Oryctolagus cuniculus: one gene and its partners. The protein of the gene in region 1 interacts with the protein of each later gene in a pairwise test. Links are inferred from orthologs where the notes say so. Each region holds a gene or a part of one and is shown on either strand. Other genes may lie near its edges.

Region 1 (5,464 bases):
TGGCAGGGCTCCGGCGCAGCTTAGGAGAGAGGGGAGAGGACACGAACTTTCTGTCCCCTGGTTTAAGTCGCTGAGAATCTGGGAACTCGGTCACCACAGCTTCCCTCTGGCCCTTATCCGGGGAGGCGGCAGAGGCCCAGAGAGGAGCAGCAAGCCCAAAGGCACACAGCGAGTTGGGGGCGGTGCCCACTCTGCCCCCAGGTTGCCCATCTTTGAGCCCCAGGACCCCTGGCTGTGCTGCCCCAAGCCCTCAGTGACTGTCACCCCTGCCCTTGCAGGACCTGGAAATCCACACCACCAGCAACTGCCTGCACTTCGTGTCCAGAGTGGGCACCCAGGTGAGAGGCCCGCCCACCCGAGGCCCTCTCACCTGGCGGCCTCCAGGGGAGCTCACCCTCTGGGCCCCTTCCCCACCCAGGTCCCCACCGACTCCCGGCAGCAGATCCTGCCTGGAGACGAGATCATCCAGATCAACGAGCAGGTGGTGGTGAGTGAGGACGCTGACGGCGTGGTGGGCACGCGGGGCAGGACGGGGAGAGAGGCAGCCGAGGCTCTGCCCCCCGGGGACAGCAGGGTGTGATGAGCCAGCCCAGGAGGTCGGAGGGCTGCTGCAGAGCCAAGGTGCAGGGGCTGATGGGGCTCCCTGGGGCAGAAGCAGGAGGCTCGGTGTGAGGGCAGGGGTGGAGGTGCTTCCGAGCCTCCTGCCCAGCGTCTCTGCCCCGGCCCCACCCCGTCCCCCAGGTGGCCTGGTCCCATAAGAACGTGCTGAGGGAGCTGCTGCGGCAGCCAGCGGGGGTCAGCTTGGTGCTGAAGAAGATCCCGGTGCCAGAGACGCCCCCGAAGGTACCTGCCTCCCCCGCGCTCCACCTGCTTTCAGGGCCTGTCATCAGCTCCGTCACCTGCTTCTCCTTGTTCCTCCAGACACCCCCTCAGGCTCTGGACTCGCCGCGCCTGGGAAGCCAGTCACCGACTCTGGCCCCGCTGTCTCCCAGGTGCCCGGTCTGCCCCGAGCACGCGGGGACGCGGCCTGCCTCATCTCCCCTTGCTCTCCTGCCCTGGGCACGCCTTGGTGGGGGCGCGGCCTGCCTCATCTCCCCTCGCTCTCCTGCCCTGGGCACGCCTTGGTGGGGGCGCGGCCTGCCTCATCTCCCCTCACTCTCCCCAGGGCCTCACCCAGAGATGCCTTTGCCTTTGACCTGACTTCAAACCCAAGTCCTGGGCCTACCCCTACCTCGACAGGTAGTTTCAAAGCCCTTTAGGTGGGGGATACCTGGAGCCAAGGCATCTGGGTTCCTCGCTGTGACCCCTCATTGTTGACATCACCTCCTGAATCCCCAGGCCTGGGACTGGGCTCACGAACCTTCTCCCTCTCTCCTCCCTCCTTGACAGATTCTACCTCCCTTGACCCTGAGCCGCTGCCTATCCCCTCTGAGCCCCCAGCCACAGTCCCGGCAGAGGTAGCAGAGACCCCAGGCCCCCCAGGATACCCTGACAAGGTGAGCTCAGGAGCTCAGCGGGGAGGGGTGCGGGCTCTGGACCCGCATCCTCCTCTAACCCCTGCATTGTCCTTTCAGAGTCCTGGCCTTGGTGGGAAGAAATCAAAAGGTATGAATGCCCCCAACACGGTGGGACCCCTTAGTGATGCTTACAGTGCTGGGCAAGACCCCCACCCTTCCCACAGTCTCCCTGGAAACAGGCACAGTTCTGGGTCTGGAGTCAGACAGACCTGGGCCCCCAGCCCACAGCTTATCCTCTGATCTGTGTCCTTGCCTTTGAAATGGGAAGTCACCCCCTCTTGAGATGACCGGGTGTAGGCTCAGGCCTCTCCGTTGGGGCTGCTTCTGGGAGGGCAAAGGAACAGGTCTGGGGGGCCAGAGGGCCTTGCCAGCCCCTCACCAGCCATGCCGTGCCGTGCTACTGCAGGCGTGGCGACAAGGCTGAGCCGCCGGCGGGTGTCCTGCCGGGAGCTGGGCCGGCCCGACTGTGACGGGTGGCTCCTGCTGCGCAAGACACCCAGTGGCTTCATGGGCCCACGCTGGCGCCGCTGCTGGTTTGTGCTCAAGGGACACACGCTCTACTGGTACTGCCAGCCCCAGGTGAGACACCCCCACCACCACCACACAGGTAAGCAAGTGGCTCACCTCAGGGCCTTGATTCTTATGTGTATTCTACCATCCACTCCCATCCACAGGCCCCGGTGTGCCCATCTGTAAAATGGGCATAATGGAGAGAAAGGAGCTAACACAGGTTGTAGAAGCAGTTTAGGAAAAGGCATCCCAGGAAGTACAGAGAAAGTCACTTTTATTCTGCCCATCTCTACGCCCCTTCTGACGTTCCGCCCATCCGAGTGATGGGCCATTCGTTTGCTCATTTATTCACTGAACAGACAGTCAGGTGCTTGCTGTGTATCCAGCTCTGGGCCAGTCATGGGGAGAATCGGGCAGTTCCTGCCCCTCCAGAACGGAAGAGTCTGGTGGGCCGTGGTAAACACACACTCATGGACCATACGGGGGTGCGTGTCCGATGAAGGAAAGCCAGGAGGGGCGTGCCCTGGAAGCTTCCTGGGAGAGCAGTTCTGGGGGTTTCAGATGAAAAGGGGCAAGAACCCAGCACTCAGGAAGCTCGGGGCAGGAGCAGCCCCGTGGGCATCTCCTGGGGACCAGGCAGAGGAGCAGACTCCGCTCTCACAGCTGCTGCCCTGGACGGCCTTGGCTCTGCCTTCCTGGCTTGGACACACCCTGTGACCATGCCTCCCTCCCTGAGCCCCAGGACTAGGGGCTTGTGGTTGGAGAGGCCAGCAGATGCCCCTGCAGGTCCTACCTGCCTGGGCCCTGAGGGTATCAGGGCCCCGGGCTGACCCTCATCTTGTGCCCACAGGATGAGAAGGCCGAGGGCCTCATCAATGTCTCCAACTATAGTCTGGAAAGTGGACATGATCAGAAGAAGAAATAGTTAAGTCCTGGGCTGTGATGGGCTGGGGGACAGGGAGGGACAGCAGACAGGTGCTGGTGCCGGGTAGGGAGGATGGGAGGCGGCTGGGGCCCCGGGAGGAGGCTGAGAGGGCCCCTCCCTGGCAGTGTGTTCCAGCTCACCCACGACGTGTACAAACCCTTCGTCTTCGCTGCTGACACCCTGTCGGATCTGAGCATGTGAGTGCCAGCCTCCCCCTCCAGTCCCATGTGCTCCCAGCCTCTGAGTACTGGTGAAGATACTTGGTTCTCTAAGCCTCAGTTTCTTCATCTATAAAATGGGCTGCTAAGAGTTCCTTCCTCTCATGGTTGCTCTGAGGATTGAATTGGACAATGTGGTAGTGGCGGGGGGGGGGGGGAGTGCTAGGCAAAGCCCTGGCACACAGTAGGGCCTCAGTGAATAGAAATTCTCTGAGGCCCAGCACTCCCCCACAGGTGGGTACGCCATCTCATCACCTGCATTTCCAAGTACCAGTCTCCAGGCCGACCCTCACCAGCCAGAGAGGAAGGTGGGTGGTTCCAGGGGAGAAACCTGGGTTTCACCTGAGCCTCTGCCTGTCCTGAGATGGGGCCTGGCAAACCCTGTGAGTCCCGACCCGTCCCTCCCCTGCAGACTGCTACAGTGAGACAGAAGCCGAGGACCCTGACGACGAGGCTGGGTCCCGCTCAGCCTCGGTGAGTGCGGACGACAGGGGGGCAGAGGTGGCGGGGGGGGGGGGGGGGGAGGGTGGGAATAGCAGGGCCTGAAGCTAGACTCACGCCCTCCACCGCTTCCACCCTGCCCACAGCCCAGCCCTGCACAATCTTGGAGTCCGCTGCACAGAGACACGTCACCGGCAACCACGCCCACACAGCGCAGCCCACGGAGCTCCTTCGGACCCCCAGCAGGTAGCCGGCTGAGCTGGGAGCTGGGATGGGACTGAGGGGCGGGGCAGGCACTTGCTCATCCCGCTCTCCCCTCCCACAGACAGCAGTGATGGGGCGCTGGAAGGAATGGTACGGGGGCTGAGGCAGGTCGGCGTGTCCCTCCTGGGCCAACCACAGCCCCTGACCCACGAGCAGTGGCGAAGCTCTTTCATGCGGCGCAACCGGGACCCCCAGCTCAATGAGCGAGTGCACCGCGTGCGAGCGCTCCAGAGCACACTCAAGGTCAGGGGGCCGCGCGGCAGGGACAAGGCTCTGGACTCTGGCTTTCTGACAAGGGCTCGGCCCTGGGCTCCGTGCTGCCATCTGGGCTCGGCTGCGGGCCGGGCCACGTTCTAGGTGCTGAGCTGGGGTCGGAAGTCCCACCCAGGTTCCCTGTGCCACACACCACACTCCAGCGTCAGGTCTGCACTCAGGCTCCGCTCTCCCCCTGGCTGATCACGGCCCCATAACCTCCTGTTCCCATCACAGGCAAAGCTGCAGGAGCTGCAGGCCCTGGAGGAAGTGCTGGGCGACCCCGAACTGACCGGAGAGAAGTTCCGCCGGTGGAAGGAGCAGAACCAGGAGCTGTACTCAGAGGGCCTGGGGGCCTGGGGGGTGACTCCGGCCTCTGTCCCCCTGCCCTCTGACCCTCAGGAGCACTCTCATCTCTGCCCCTTGACCCCAGACGGCACCCTCTGACCTCCCGACTTCTGACGGGGGCCACTGTCTAGCTCCTGCCCCTGATGAACACCTCAACCCCATCCTTGACCATCTGGAACAGCACATCTCTGGGTTCCATTCGAGGCTGGGGCGGTGCCGTCCACGGCCCCCCGCCCCAGGTGGAGTTCCCGCCATCTGCCCGTTGCTCCTGGAGTGGGGTACAGTGAAGTGAGCCTCATGCCGCCCTATCCTCCCCACCAAAGAAAGGACTCCCACCCCACCCAGGGCTGCTCTCCCTTCCCCAAGCCGGGCCTGTTCAGGTGACCTTGATTTCACGAGAGACACATTTCAGCCAAATAAAGCCACTTCCTCCAAGGTGAACACACATGTGCCTTCATTTCCGGTTTAGCACTGGAACTCTGGGCCGCAAGAGGGGGCCGCGGTGGAAGCCCTCAGGTGGGGACTCTGGGCCGCAGGACCGGTGACAGCCCCTTCACGGCCCTGGCGAGCACCTGAAGCCCCGAGCCTGCCGGGAGTGAGGAGTGGATTCTGACCCACAGCTCAGCTGGGCCCCTCATGACCTTCCCTCTCCGGACCTTCCAGGGCCAAGGTGCTGCCCACACATGGAAACTTAGAAATTTCCACCTTGTAGATGAAGAAGCCAACCTTGCACGGAAGCTGGGGTGGGAGGGAGGGCTGCTCGGGATTGAGCTCAGCCCTGGAGAAGGCCGTCGGGCAAAACCCACGGCCACGGTGCAGCCTCACCTCCGGCTCCCGGCTCCAGTGCAGGACGCGTCCCTATCCTCCATCCCTGTGCCGTGGGCCTGTGACCTCTGATCCCAGCCCAGTAGCCCAAGGCAGCCTGAGCTGCCTCTGCAGGGTAGGTGGGGCAGCTCTGGAATTCCTTGGTAGAATGCGGGAGGTCACAG
Region 2 (5,872 bases), on another chromosome or scaffold:
ATCAGAGGAGGCCACAGCCACCCTGCTGACGTGAGCTACATTGTGCCTAGCTAGATTCCTGACCCACACACACTGAAATAGGTGTTACTCCCTACATGAAGGGCAGTTTTTCTCTGCAGCAGTAGACAGCTTAAATGCAATCGGCAATGCATTTTGAACATCATCAGCCACCTGGTGTGATGCAGAGCGAGGAGTCCAGGGTCCACACACACCCTCAGTCCCACCGCGAGCTGGCGTGAGACAAGCCCATCCTGAAGCATTACAGAACAGTGGGAAGATGGAACCAGTGTGTAGTGAAGAGGTTCACACCGCTGTTGATTTCCTAGCTTTGAGGATTATTCCATGGCAGGGTTTCTCTGCTGTGGCAATGCTGACATTTGGGGTTGGGGAATTCTGAGCTGTGGGGAGCTGGCCCATGCCTTGCAGGATGTGCAGCAGTCTCCACAGCCTCTACCCACTAAATTGTCCCTTCCTCCCTTTGTGACAGCCATAACTGTCAAGACATCACCAGATGTCCCCTGGAGAACAAAACTGCTCCTAAGTGAAAACTTCCGTTCTGCTGTGTCAAATGCTATCCCATTTGCCAGCTGGGTGAAATCTATTTTTGCAACTCCAATTATCTTTTACAATTATTATGCTAAGATGTGCTTAAAAATGAGAACATTAAAAAGTTCTTCATTTTTTGTCATTTGACTTGTATCACCACTGGTAGTCAACATTTTAATGAATCTATAAATTTGCTGTGATATAAGCCTATAATACTTAACATATCTTAGCTGTAGGCTAGGAAGTGTTTTGAGTGCTTTATAGGGACCACTCCTTAACCATCGCATCAGACAGAAGAAGTGGTAGTATTGCTTCCTCCGACTTTGCAATCGGAGGACTTGAAGCACGGGGGTTCAGTAACTTGCTCGCACCCCCTCACCCCCAAGCAAGGTGGCTCCGCAGCGCCCTTGGCCTCCTACCTCGTCCTGCCTCTGTGTTTTCCCTGAGCCACGTCTCTGAGCCTCGATGTTGTTAAGGGGCACCCATGTGGGTGCAGGGACTATAATCCGCTGTCTTCCCAGGTGCATTAGCTGGAAGCCAGATCAGAAGTGGAGGAGCTAGGTCTGGAACTGGCACACCGATAAAGCGCTCCCTTGTTCACCTGCAGCCCTTGGCACTCCCGGCCACCCCCGCAGCAGCTCATGCTTCTCCCACCTGCGCCTCCTCTCGCGCTCTCCTCGCCAGGGAGGAGGAAGCAGCCAGAGTGAGAGGAAATAAGTAGATTCCAAAGGGCCCGCGGGGGGAAAATGGTTTAGCCCAGCGAGGCCGGGTTGGCTTTGGACATCTGGAAGAAGCAGGTGGGAAGAGGGAGGCTGGAGAAGCCAAACTTAGGCTTCGGGCACTGAGCTGCTCGTCACCAAGGCAACTGCGTTGTTATGGCAACAGCACGGGTACCACCGCCTCCTCCTCCCACAAGTAACCTGCACAGCGGCCAGACGCTTCCGCATGAGGGTCGTGCGGCCTTCCGGGAACGGCTCGGGCAGGCGGGAACTGCTGCCCCGGCAGCCAATCAATAAGCTCTATCCTGTCGGGTCGGGTTCCGCCCGCCAAGAGCGCCAAGAAGGGGGTTGGGACTTTTTTCGCTCTCGCCAAAGGGCGTTGAGAAGGGCGGTCTCGAGTCTCTAATCCACCACTTAGGAGCCAAGGAGAGGAGAGGGGCGGGGCCTGAGTGAGCCCGACTAGGGGCCGGGTACCAGTGTAACGTGGGGGGATCCGCCCACTCTCGCTTCTGCCCAGTAGCAAGACGGAGAGCTCATCCTGACGGTTGGAATGTCCAATGAGCGTCGCTGCCAGGCCCCGGTGCGGAGAACGCCGAGCCAATGGGCAGCGTCGGTGGGCGGGCGCGGGTGACAGGCGGCGCGGCGGAGGCGGAGCGGGCGCTGCGGCAGGAGGGAAGATGGCGGACGAGGAGAAGCTGCCGCCCGGCTGGGAGAAGCGCATGAGCCGCAGCTCAGGTGCCGCGGGGATCGGGGCCGGGGCAGGGCCGCGCGGGCCCACGGAAGCAGGGCGCGAGCTCTGCCCTCGAGCGCGGAGGAGCCCCCCGCTTCCGTCCCGTGAGGTCTGGGCTCCTCCGCGTCGCCCTCGGAGTAACGGCGCCGGCCCGCCCCCGTGGAGGGCTGCAAGGCTCAGGAGCCGGGAGGAAACTGAGGCAGGGGGCGGGGCGGGGGAGGGGCCGGGGAGGCCGCGGCGCTCCCTGAGGCGGCGGCACTGAGTCTGCCAGCCCGGCTGTCTGCAGCCAGCACGGGCCTGCTGCACCTGTCGCTCTGCGGGGAGCTGGGCCCGGGGCACTCCCTGGGGAGGGGGATACCCCTCACCGAGCAGAGAGGCGTGGCACACACACCTGCCGGCCACACCTCTTCCTGAGTCTGCTTGGAGCCCAATCGAAAGCTTGGCCCCGTTAGGTGTGCACCCCGCATCGTGTTTTTAGTTCTCTGAGAATTGCCGCACGTCTGGGAGATGGGTCGTTGGTGCGCCCATTTTACAAGTGGGGACGCTGAGGCCAGGAAGTGGAAGGATGTCTTCCAAGATCGTGCATTTCAGGGGGGTTGGAGCCGGCTTGGAACCCAGTCTGCCTGCTCCAGGGCCCCTGGCGCTTTTCCTGTGTCACCGCGAGCGCCCGAGGAGCTGGCCCGGCTTCTCTGAGTAGGTCTAGGGTCCCTCTGCCGCCCCTGGAGCCCGCAGTGGCCACAGTCGAAGTAATAGTCCTTGTGTGTCGACCCAGGGGAGGTTTGATGGTGTTGATTCGCTCACCCCCATTTTGCAGATGAGTAAAACTGAGGCTCGGGGAGATAAGGCCCACAGACAGCATCTTAGCCTCAGTGGGTGGCTCAGCTGGATTTGTTGCTGGAACCCCCCGATCCCCTGTGTTATTTTTTCTTCCCTGAAGTTAGCAGTCATTGGGGTTCTCTTGTTGTCGTCTTTGCTGGTTTGGAGCCTGTCTTCCCCCACTGAGCATGTGAGCCCCCTCAGTACAGGGGCTGTGCGCTGCCGTGTCCGCCCGTGGCGCAGGGTGGACACGCGATGGGTTTGCTGCCCTCCCCGCAGGCCGGGTGTACTACTTCAACCACATCACGAACGCCAGCCAGTGGGAGCGCCCCAGCGGCAACAGCAGCAGCGGTGGAGGCAAAATCGGGCAGGGGGAGCCGGCGCGTGTCCGCTGCTCGCACCTGCTCGTCAAACACAGCCAGTCCCGGCGGCCCTCGTCCTGGCGGCAGGAGAAGATCACCCGGACCAAGGAGGAGGCCCTGGAGCTGATCAACGGTGAGCAGGGGCTCTCGGGCCGGGATCCTCTCCACTTCTGCTCTCCCTGCTCTGAGGCTCGCCGACTCCAGGAGGAAGAGGGCGTTTGGAGGTAGAGCTGCAGGAGTTCCTGCCAGAGGGAACTTGGGAAGAGGCTCATCCTGGGCGGGGCCCTTTAAATCCTGGGGGCTGGGGGCGGAACTTGGGGAGGCAGCCGGACGCAGGTCTGGGTTCAGCAGAGCAGGGAGGCCAAAAGGACATGTGGGGTGATCCGGGTAAGGTGGCAGGAGGCTGAGCGGCCTTCCCAGCTCTGGGTCGGTGCTGCGGTGGGGCTGCACTCACCAGCTTGGGTCTTAGGAAGGGATAGACCATGAGCAGGTGGGCCCGGGCCCGCTCTTCCGTAGGTGGAGATTTGGGGATGTCAGCAGGCTGCCAGCGCGGGGGGGGGGGGGGGGGGCCTGTGGAGGCTGTGGGAGAGATTGCAGGCAGAGGCAGTGTGGCTCGAGCCTGGGGTGGGCCGAGGGTGGAAATGAGGGGGAGGCGGATTCTAGAGAGATTCAGGAGACAGACTTGGGAGGATGCAGGGGTGTGTGAAGTGGGCGAGGCTCTGCTTGGGAGGCCCACCACACCCTGGGCTCCTCAGGACTGGGGTCTTGTGCCAGCTGTGTGTCCTGGAGCAGCTGTGTTCTCTGAGCCTCGGTGGCTGCCTCTGTAGGCTGGGCGCGTGTCCCCATGAAGAGCCGGGAGCCGTGGGCTCGGTGTCTGGGGCTTGACCCCAGTCCTTGAGGCATATGCATGGGGGAGCTGAGGTCGAGGGAAGGCCTGGGCTCATGGGCTGCTTCTCTGGAAAGATCTCTGGGCCTGGACACGGGCGGTCTGGTGGGCTCAGCATAGACCCTCTGGTGACCTTGGACTGCGACCTTCTCTGACTTCAGTGTCGTCCTGCTCGAGGTGGGACTGGTGCAGGACCCTCAGAGGTTGCTAGGAGGCCGTGGTGAGCCGGCCTTGGCTGTGGCGCACTCAGTAACCAGACATCCTGTGTGTTTTCCACAAGCCTTGGGTGCCTGGGCCTTGTCCTGTGTGTGCAGGTGACTGCTCCCCCGGTCTGGCTGTGTTCCAGAGGATCAGGAGTCGATGGTTTGGCCAGCGCCCTCCCCAGCTGGCAGCCTGGGCCCACACGAGTCTCCTCAGTGCCCACTGGGACCCGGTGCTGCCCCGGGAGACGCGTCTGCAGCGAGAATCAGCGCCTCCACCTCTCTGCAGAGGCTCCTCTTCCCAGCATCAGCTCCTCTGCAGCTGCTGGGCTGCCGCCAGGGGCTGTCAGGAATCCGAGGCCCGCCCAGTGTCACTGTTGGTGTCCTTGCCTGAAGCGGCCAGCCAGGGGGAGCCATCCCTGCCTGTTTCCCGTCCCTCCATGCCTGTGTGCCCAGGGTCCCAGGGAGGCCCCGACCTGAGGATCCCCCACCCAGGGAGGGCCAGTGGTCCTAGGCTGGGCCTCTGGGCCCCTTGCTGGATCTTAGGTCTTCTGGGGACATAATCCTGACTTCTTTCCCTGCCCAGGCCCCTTCCCCTTTGGTGCCTGGGTGCCATTGGACTAGAAGCAGCTTATTGAGTTGTAGGGCAGGGCAGGGAGTTTGTCCCTAAACCTTTTTGGGATTAGGCACCCCTCTGTCTGTTCACTCATGTTCCCTTGGATGGTTACAGTGATCTGTTAGCTTGGGCTCCATAATAAAATACCACAGACTGAGGCCGGCGCCGCTGCTCACTAGGCTAATCCTCCGCCTAGCGGCGCCGGCACACCGGGTTCTAGTCCCGGTCGGGGCGCCGGATTCTGTCCCGGTTGCCCCTCTTCCAGGCCAGCCCTCTGCTGTGGCCAGGGAGTGCAGTGGAGGATGGCCCAGGTGCTTGAGCCCTGCACCCCATGGGAGACCAGGAAAAGCACCTGGCTCCTGGCTCCTGCCATTGGATCAGCGCGGTGCGCCGGCCGCGGCGGCCATTGGAGGGTGAACCAACGGCAAAGGAAGACCTTTCTCTCTGTCTCTCTCTCTCACTGTCCACTCTGCCTGTCAAAAAATTAAAAAAAAAAAAAAAAAACACAGACTGGGTGGTTTAAACAACAGAAATTTATTTCCTCAAAGTTACTGGAAGTTCAAGATCAAGATTCTGGCCAGGTTGGTACGTGGTGAGGTCTCTCATTCGGGCTTGTAGACAGCGTCTAGATTAGGTGTCCTCGTCTGTCTTGCATACCCGAGAGACCCAGATGTCTCTTCTTGGAAGGGCACTAATCCCGCCCTTGTGCCCTCATGTAACCTTTTCATTTTTCTGTTTTGAGAGACAGAGGAAGAGAGACCACCCTCCCTTCTACTGGTTCACTCCCCAAATGCTCTCAGTAGCCCCTGGTTGTGGCTAAAACCAGGAGCCAGGGACTCAGTCCAGGACTCTCTCATGCATGGCAGGGACCCCAACTACTTGAACCATCATCACTGCCTCCCAGGGCCTGCAGGAAGTTGGGAGTCAGAAGCCAGAGCTGGCCTTGAACCGAGGAACTCATGTGGGATGAGGGCCTCCTAACCACTAGGCCCAACAT
Region 3 (5,772 bases), on another chromosome or scaffold:
TCCGGGGCTGTGGAAAGTCGCTCAGCCTGTGGGGCCACAGCTCGGGAGAAGAGGGTATCGTACCCCTCTGGTGTTTCAGTCCCCCCAAGTGTCCCGGCTCCGTCAGCTCTGTTCTCACCCCTGGGCCCTGTTGGTGGTGCCTGTCCCTTACGGAGGGACAGCAGTCACCCTGGACTGAGAGCTGGGCCAGTCTCCGCCCCGCCCCGCCCGGGATGGAGCTTGGCTTCTCCCTCCCTCTCTCCAGGAGGGGAAGGGACCCTGAGGGAGGAGGCAGAGGAGGGGCCGTGTGGGGGCCATGTTGAACAGTTCTTATGGCTTCCCTGGTGCTGCTCTTGTCTTCCCACACCTGTGATGTTCTCGCCAATGCCCCTTCTCTATTGTTTAAATGTATTTGAAAGGCAGAGTGACAGAGAGACATGAACCTCTGCTGGTTCATTCCCAAAATGCCCAGAGCAGTCAGGGCTGGCCAGGCCGAAGCCAGGCGCTCCATGCAGGTCTCTCACATGTGTGGCAGGGACCCAAGGACTCGAGCCGTCTCCGGCTGTCTCCCAGGGTGCACATCAGCAGGAAGCGGAATCTGAACCCAGGCACTCCCGCGTGGGCTGTAGGCATCTTAACGCTGCCCCGGACACTGCCCGGGGCCTTCGTGAGTCTGCCCCGTGGGCCCCTCGGATCCGGAGCCTGACGGAAAGGCCCACGGGTAGTTCTGTTTGCTCCTGAGTGCCAGCGGCTCCAACTGTGGGACTCAGGCTCTGCTGCTGAAGGCACCGGCTTTCCGACCTGGGATGCTCAGGAGACGGGGAGGCTGAGCCTGGAAGGGCCACAGCCGAGCCCAGGAGGAGGGAGGGTTAGGACCAGACCCACCTGACCCCCGCCGTCCCCCTTCTTCCTGCAGAGGCTGAAGTACGAAATCGCCGAGGTGATGACCGAGATCGACAGCCTGACGTCTGTGGAGGAGAGGTAAACCCCAGGGCCGCCTGCGCCCGCTCATCCCATTCCCCAACCTCCAGGCGCAGCGGGTGCCGCTTCCCAGCCCAGCAGGAAGCACGGGCGCTGGGAGGTGACCTGCCCAGAGCAGCTTTCCACCAGCCTAAAGGGGCCGTGCTTTTAAACCCACGGCTTTCTCTGTTAGCTTCTCCCGGGAAAGTGGGTCCCAGTTGTCTGCTTCCAGGTGGTGGCTCGCGCCGGAGGGAGGGGGCGGCGTGGGCGTGCCGAGGGCCATGACGCCACCCTGGGCGCCGCCACCGAAGTCCGTGTTCTCTGGAAACACTGCTGACCGTCTCTAATTATGTCAAACGCACAGCAAAACCACTCAAAGGAACAAGCAAATCGCTATGGGAAGAAAGAAGTTCAACATGGATCCCAAAAAGGTGAGAGGAACCTCGTTCCCTGGCACACACAGGTCGAGTAATTTATAGCGGTTTGGACAGAGGTGCTCAGACTGGGAGCTGATGGCAACTCTTTATTGAGAAGGGGGCTGCTCAGGACTGCGGTGGAGCTCGGAGCTCCGAGCTCCAGCGTCCTGTGAGCTGGCCCCCAGGGAGGCCTCCCCCACCCCTGCATCCCATCAGCCTGCCCCCAGGGAGGCCTCCCCAACCCCTGCATCCCATCAGCCCGCCCCCAGGGAGGCCTCCCCGCCCCCCATCCCATGAGCAGCCCCCAGGGAGGCCCCCCCATCCCATGAGCAGCCCCCAGGGAGGCCTCCCCCACCCCTGCATCCCATCAGCCTGCCCCCAGGGAGGCCTCCCCAACCCCTGCATCCCATCAGCCCGCCCCCAGGGAGGCCTCCCCGCCCCCCATCCCATGAGCAGCCCCCAGGGAGGCCCCCCCATCCCATGAGCTGCCCCCAGGGAGGCCCCCCCATCCCATGAGCCGCCCCCAGGGAGGCCCCCCCCATCCCATGAGCCGCCCCCAGGGAGGCCTTCCCCCACCCCTGCATCCCATGAGCCCGCCCCCGGGAGGCCTCCCCGCCCCCCATCCCATGAGCCGCCCCCAGGGAGGCCCCCCCCATCCCATGAGCCGCCCCCAGGGAGGCCTCCCCCCCCCATCCCATGAGCAGCCCCCAGGGAGGCCCCCCCATCCCATGAGCCGCCCCCAGGGAGGCCTCCCCACCCCCCATCCCATGAGCTGCCCCCAGGGAGGCCTCCCCCATCCCATGAGCAGCCCCCAGGGAGGCCTCCCCCCCAATCCCATGAGCCGCCCCCAGGGAGGCCTCCCCCACCCCTGCATCCCATCAGCCCGCCCCCAGGGAGGCCTCCCTCCCCGCGGAGCTGAGTGAGGACAGTGCCGCTCGCAGAGGCTTCAGGGGAGCCTGCAGAGCCCTTGCTCCGTGGGGTGCTGCCCCTCGGTCTCCCGCCCTGAGCCCTGCAGCCCGGGAGCAGAGCTGGGAGCGGGACCCGTGTGTGCCGTGTGTACGGGCCTTGTCGTCTGGGGAGTGGTGCACAGCTGGAGGAGGAGCACCTCGCTGCCCCTGCTCCCTGGAAGGGCTTCTGTGGGAAGAGCAGGGCTCTCCACACTGAGCGCTCTCGGATCGTGGCTCACATTAGAGTTTGCGGGAAGACGCCGAACACAGAGAGCCTGCAGTGTGGGGCTGCACGGAAGGACTTGGCAAAGTCCACAGAGGGAGGCCGCGACTCAGTTGTAATGTGGGTGGTTTGTTTTTTCCCCGTTTTTAAGATTGATTGACTGATGTGGAAGACAGAGTTAGAGGTGGGGGCGAGGGAGAGATCTTCCATCCTCTGGTTCACTCCCCAAGAGGCTGCAACAAGCTGGGCTGGGCTGGGCTGAAGCCAGGAACCCGGAACTCCGTCTGGGGTCTCCCGCGTGAGTGGCAGGGCCCAAGCACTGGGCTGACTTTCACTGCCTTCCCAGGCACATCAACCGGGAGCTGGATCGGAAGTGGGGCAGCCAGGATTCGAACCAGCGCCCATGTGGGATGCCAGCATAGCAGGTGGCAGCTTTACCCCCTGTGCCACAGCACCCACGCCCATTTTGTTTTTTTTTTTTTATTTTTTATTTTTTTGACAGGCAGAGTGGACAGTGAGAGAGAGAGACAGAGAGAAAGGTCTTCCTTTTGCCGTTGGTTCACTCTCCAATGGCCGCCGTGGCTGGTGCACTGCGGCTGGCACATCGCACTGATCCGATGGCAGGATCCAGGTACTTATCCTGGTCTCCCATGGGGTGCAGGGCCCAAGCACCTGGGCCATCCTCCACTGCACTCCCTGGCCACAGCAGAGAGCTGGCCTGGAAGGGGGGCAACTGGGAAAGAATCCGGCTCCCTGACCGGGACTAGAACCCGGTGTGCCAGCGCCGCAAGGCAGAGGATTAGCCTAGTGAGCCACGGCGCCAGCCTCATTTTGGTTTTGAGAAAGGAGAGAGGGCCTGAGTCTGCCACAGGCTGGTGGCTGAGGGGAGGAAGGCATGTCTTCATGGGAGACGCCGCACGGCGCGGCTCAGTCCCTGCTGCCTGTGGTAAAGATTTATTTATTTGACAGGCAGAGTTAGAGAGGCAGAGGCAGAGAGAGAGACGTCTTCCATCCATTGGTTCACTTCCCAAATGGCCTCAACGGCTGGAGCTGGGCTGGTCTGAAGCCAGGAGCTTCTTCCAGGTCTCCCACGTGGGTGCAGGGCCCGAGGACTTGGGCCATCTTCCACTGCTTTCCCAGGCCACAGCAGAGAGCTGGATCGGAAGTGGAGCAGCCAGAATTTGAACCGCTGCCCATATGGGATGCCGGCGCCGCAGGCAGCAGCTTTACCTGCTCTTCCACAGTGCTGGCTCTGGTGTTCACTGCTAACTTTGTCCTTGTTTTTCTGATGCTGAGCCTCTATGCTAATTAATTAGTTAATTATTTGCTCATTGAGTAAATGTTTGTTGATTGTAGGAATTACACTGTGTCAGGTCTTGGGTCTGCAGAAATACATTTCTCAGTACCGTGCAGTTGCAGCTGACTTTTGAAGAGATGTTTATTATTTCCTGTTTGCAAAACTGGATTTCCTTGGGGCACAGCGCCGGTGCAGCTGGAGGAGGGCTTTAGTTTAACCAGCGTGCTCGGCCGCTGTGGACATTTTCCAGTCACACCCCAGTCCTCTTCCTCTGTGGCGTACGTCCAGTCCAGAATGGAAGGAACATGACTGAGAACAGCGCTGTGCATTGGATCATGGCTGTCATTTAGATCCCAGCCGTGGTGTTCTCCAGAGCCCCACGTGGTACAGGCTCCGCCCAGGCTGGCTCTTGGAGACTTGATCCAATTACAGAGTTAGGGGAGGGGGTGAGCCTCAGGGAGGTCCCAGGTCACTGGCAAGGCCCTTGGAAGACAGCTCCGGCCCAGCTGCTTTCTGTCTGCTGCCTGCTCTCCCTGGGGTCCTCTGCTGCTCCCTTTCCACCCTCTGCTGCCCTGTCAAGACACCAGACCCGCGGGGGCCACTGGATCCGGACCTGGGAGCTCCAGAACCGCAAGCCCAAAGTAAACCTTTTCTCTCCATCGTTAGCTTGTATCGGGATTTGTTACAGGAAAGAGACGCTCACTCATACAATGCTGGTTCCATATTTGAGGTTGGTGACCATTGCTTTTTTCTTTGGAGCTGAGTTTACACAGTAGAATTATCACAATACAAGGCAGCATCTCGGGGCTGGTGCTGTGGCGTAGCGGGTAAAGCCGCCGCCTGCAGTGCCCACATCCCATATGGACATCAGTTCAAGTTCCGGCTGCTCCGCTTCCGATCCAGCTCTCTGCTGTGGCCTGGGAAAGCAGTAGAAGATGGCCCTAGTCCTTGGGCCCCTGCCCCGGCATGGGAAACTTGGAAGAAGCTCCTGGCTTCAGATCGGCCGAGCTCTGGCCATGTGGCCATCTGGGGAGTGATCAGCAAATGGAAGACCTCTCTCTGCCTCTGCCTCTGCCTCTGCCTCTCTGTAACTCTACCTTTCAAATAAATAAATAAGTAAGGCAACATCTCAGAATGTTTACAAAAGTGGATGCTTTTAACGCTGAACCTTTTTTTTTTTTTTTAAATTATTTTATTTGAAAGGGAGAGAAGGATGGAGAGGCGGACTGACAGATCTTCCAACTGCTGGTTCACTCTCCAAGTACCCCTAGACTTGGGTTTTAAAGGGACCCAAGTGCAGCACGGGGCAGCCCGACTGAAAGGTCAAGGATAAATTCAAACCACATGAAGCATGTACAGATTAACAAACACTGACTTTTTAAGGGGAAAAAAAAGATTTCATTTATTTATTTGAAGGGTAGAGTACAGTGAGAGAAAGGTCTTCCACCTGCAGGTTCACTCCCCAAATGGCCGATCCAAAGCCAGCAGCCAGGAGATTCCTTGGACTTGGACCATCTTCCGCTGCTTTCCCAGGCCATAAGCAGAGAACTCGATCAGAAGAGGAGCAGCTGGGACCAGAACCAGCACCCATATGGGATGCCGGCACCACAGACAGAGGCTTAGCCCACTAAGCCATAGTGCCGGCCCCCAAACACTGACAGTTTAAGTGGTGAGGCCACACGGTGTCACACTGTGGTTCCGTGAGATGAGTGTCCTCGTGCACGTGACGTCCTCCTGGCCTCGTTCCTGCCTGTCTTGCTCCCCGGGTTCTGTGCATCAGGCTTACTGAGGGCTGCCGCTGGGAACGTGCTGTGGTCAGCAGCCAAGCGCGAGTGTAGACTTGGTCCTGCCTCCCAGCTGGGGAAGATGACCAGCGCGAGTGTAGACTTGGTCCTGCCTCCCAGCTGGGGAAGATGACAAGCGCGAGCGTAGACTTGGTCCTGCCTCCCA

What was found.
Region 2: the proteins of CNKSR1 (region 1) and PIN1 interact in binary tests that used the Homo sapiens proteins (3 or more experiments, as listed by UniProt). The two-hybrid records come from large-scale screens. The link is inferred for Oryctolagus cuniculus from reciprocal best matches to the Homo sapiens genes CNKSR1 and PIN1.
Region 3: the proteins of CNKSR1 (region 1) and CYTH3 interact in binary tests that used the Homo sapiens proteins (3 or more experiments, as listed by UniProt). The two-hybrid records come from large-scale screens. The link is inferred for Oryctolagus cuniculus from reciprocal best matches to the Homo sapiens genes CNKSR1 and CYTH3.

The regions. Positions count from the first base shown.
Region 1 is NC_091438.1:145,272,063-145,277,526, reverse strand, and holds the end of CNKSR1 (connector enhancer of kinase suppressor of ras 1), read left to right. Parts: intron 1-278; coding exon 279-338; intron 339-418; coding exon 419-487; exon of another isoform or gene 488-579; coding exon of another isoform or gene 580-621; intron 622-741; coding exon 742-843; intron 844-921; coding exon 922-992; intron 993-1,165; coding exon 1,166-1,239; intron 1,240-1,389; coding exon 1,390-1,496; intron 1,497-1,574; coding exon 1,575-1,605; intron 1,606-1,923; coding exon 1,924-2,096; intron 2,097-2,877; coding exon 2,878-2,951; intron 2,952-3,077; coding exon 3,078-3,149; intron 3,150-3,404; coding exon 3,405-3,478; intron 3,479-3,582; coding exon 3,583-3,644; intron 3,645-3,757; coding exon 3,758-3,857; intron 3,858-3,936; coding exon 3,937-4,118; intron 4,119-4,364; coding exon 4,365-4,574; 3' UTR 4,575-4,916; downstream 4,917-5,464. UniProt on the Homo sapiens protein: May function as an adapter protein or regulator of Ras signaling pathways.
Region 2 is NC_091447.1:67,376,493-67,382,364, reverse strand, and holds the start of PIN1 (peptidyl-prolyl cis-trans isomerase NIMA-interacting 1), read left to right. Parts: upstream 1-1,845; 5' UTR 1,846-1,942; coding exon 1,943-2,000; intron 2,001-3,090; coding exon 3,091-3,306; intron 3,307-5,872. UniProt on the Homo sapiens protein: Peptidyl-prolyl cis/trans isomerase (PPIase) that binds to and isomerizes specific phosphorylated Ser/Thr-Pro (pSer/Thr-Pro) motifs.
Region 3 is NC_091450.1:40,267,649-40,273,420, forward strand, and holds part of CYTH3 (cytohesin-3), read left to right. Parts: intron 1-895; coding exon 896-960; intron 961-1,303; coding exon 1,304-1,370; intron 1,371-5,772. UniProt on the Homo sapiens protein: Promotes guanine-nucleotide exchange on ARF1 and ARF6. Promotes the activation of ARF factors through replacement of GDP with GTP. Plays a role in the epithelial polarization.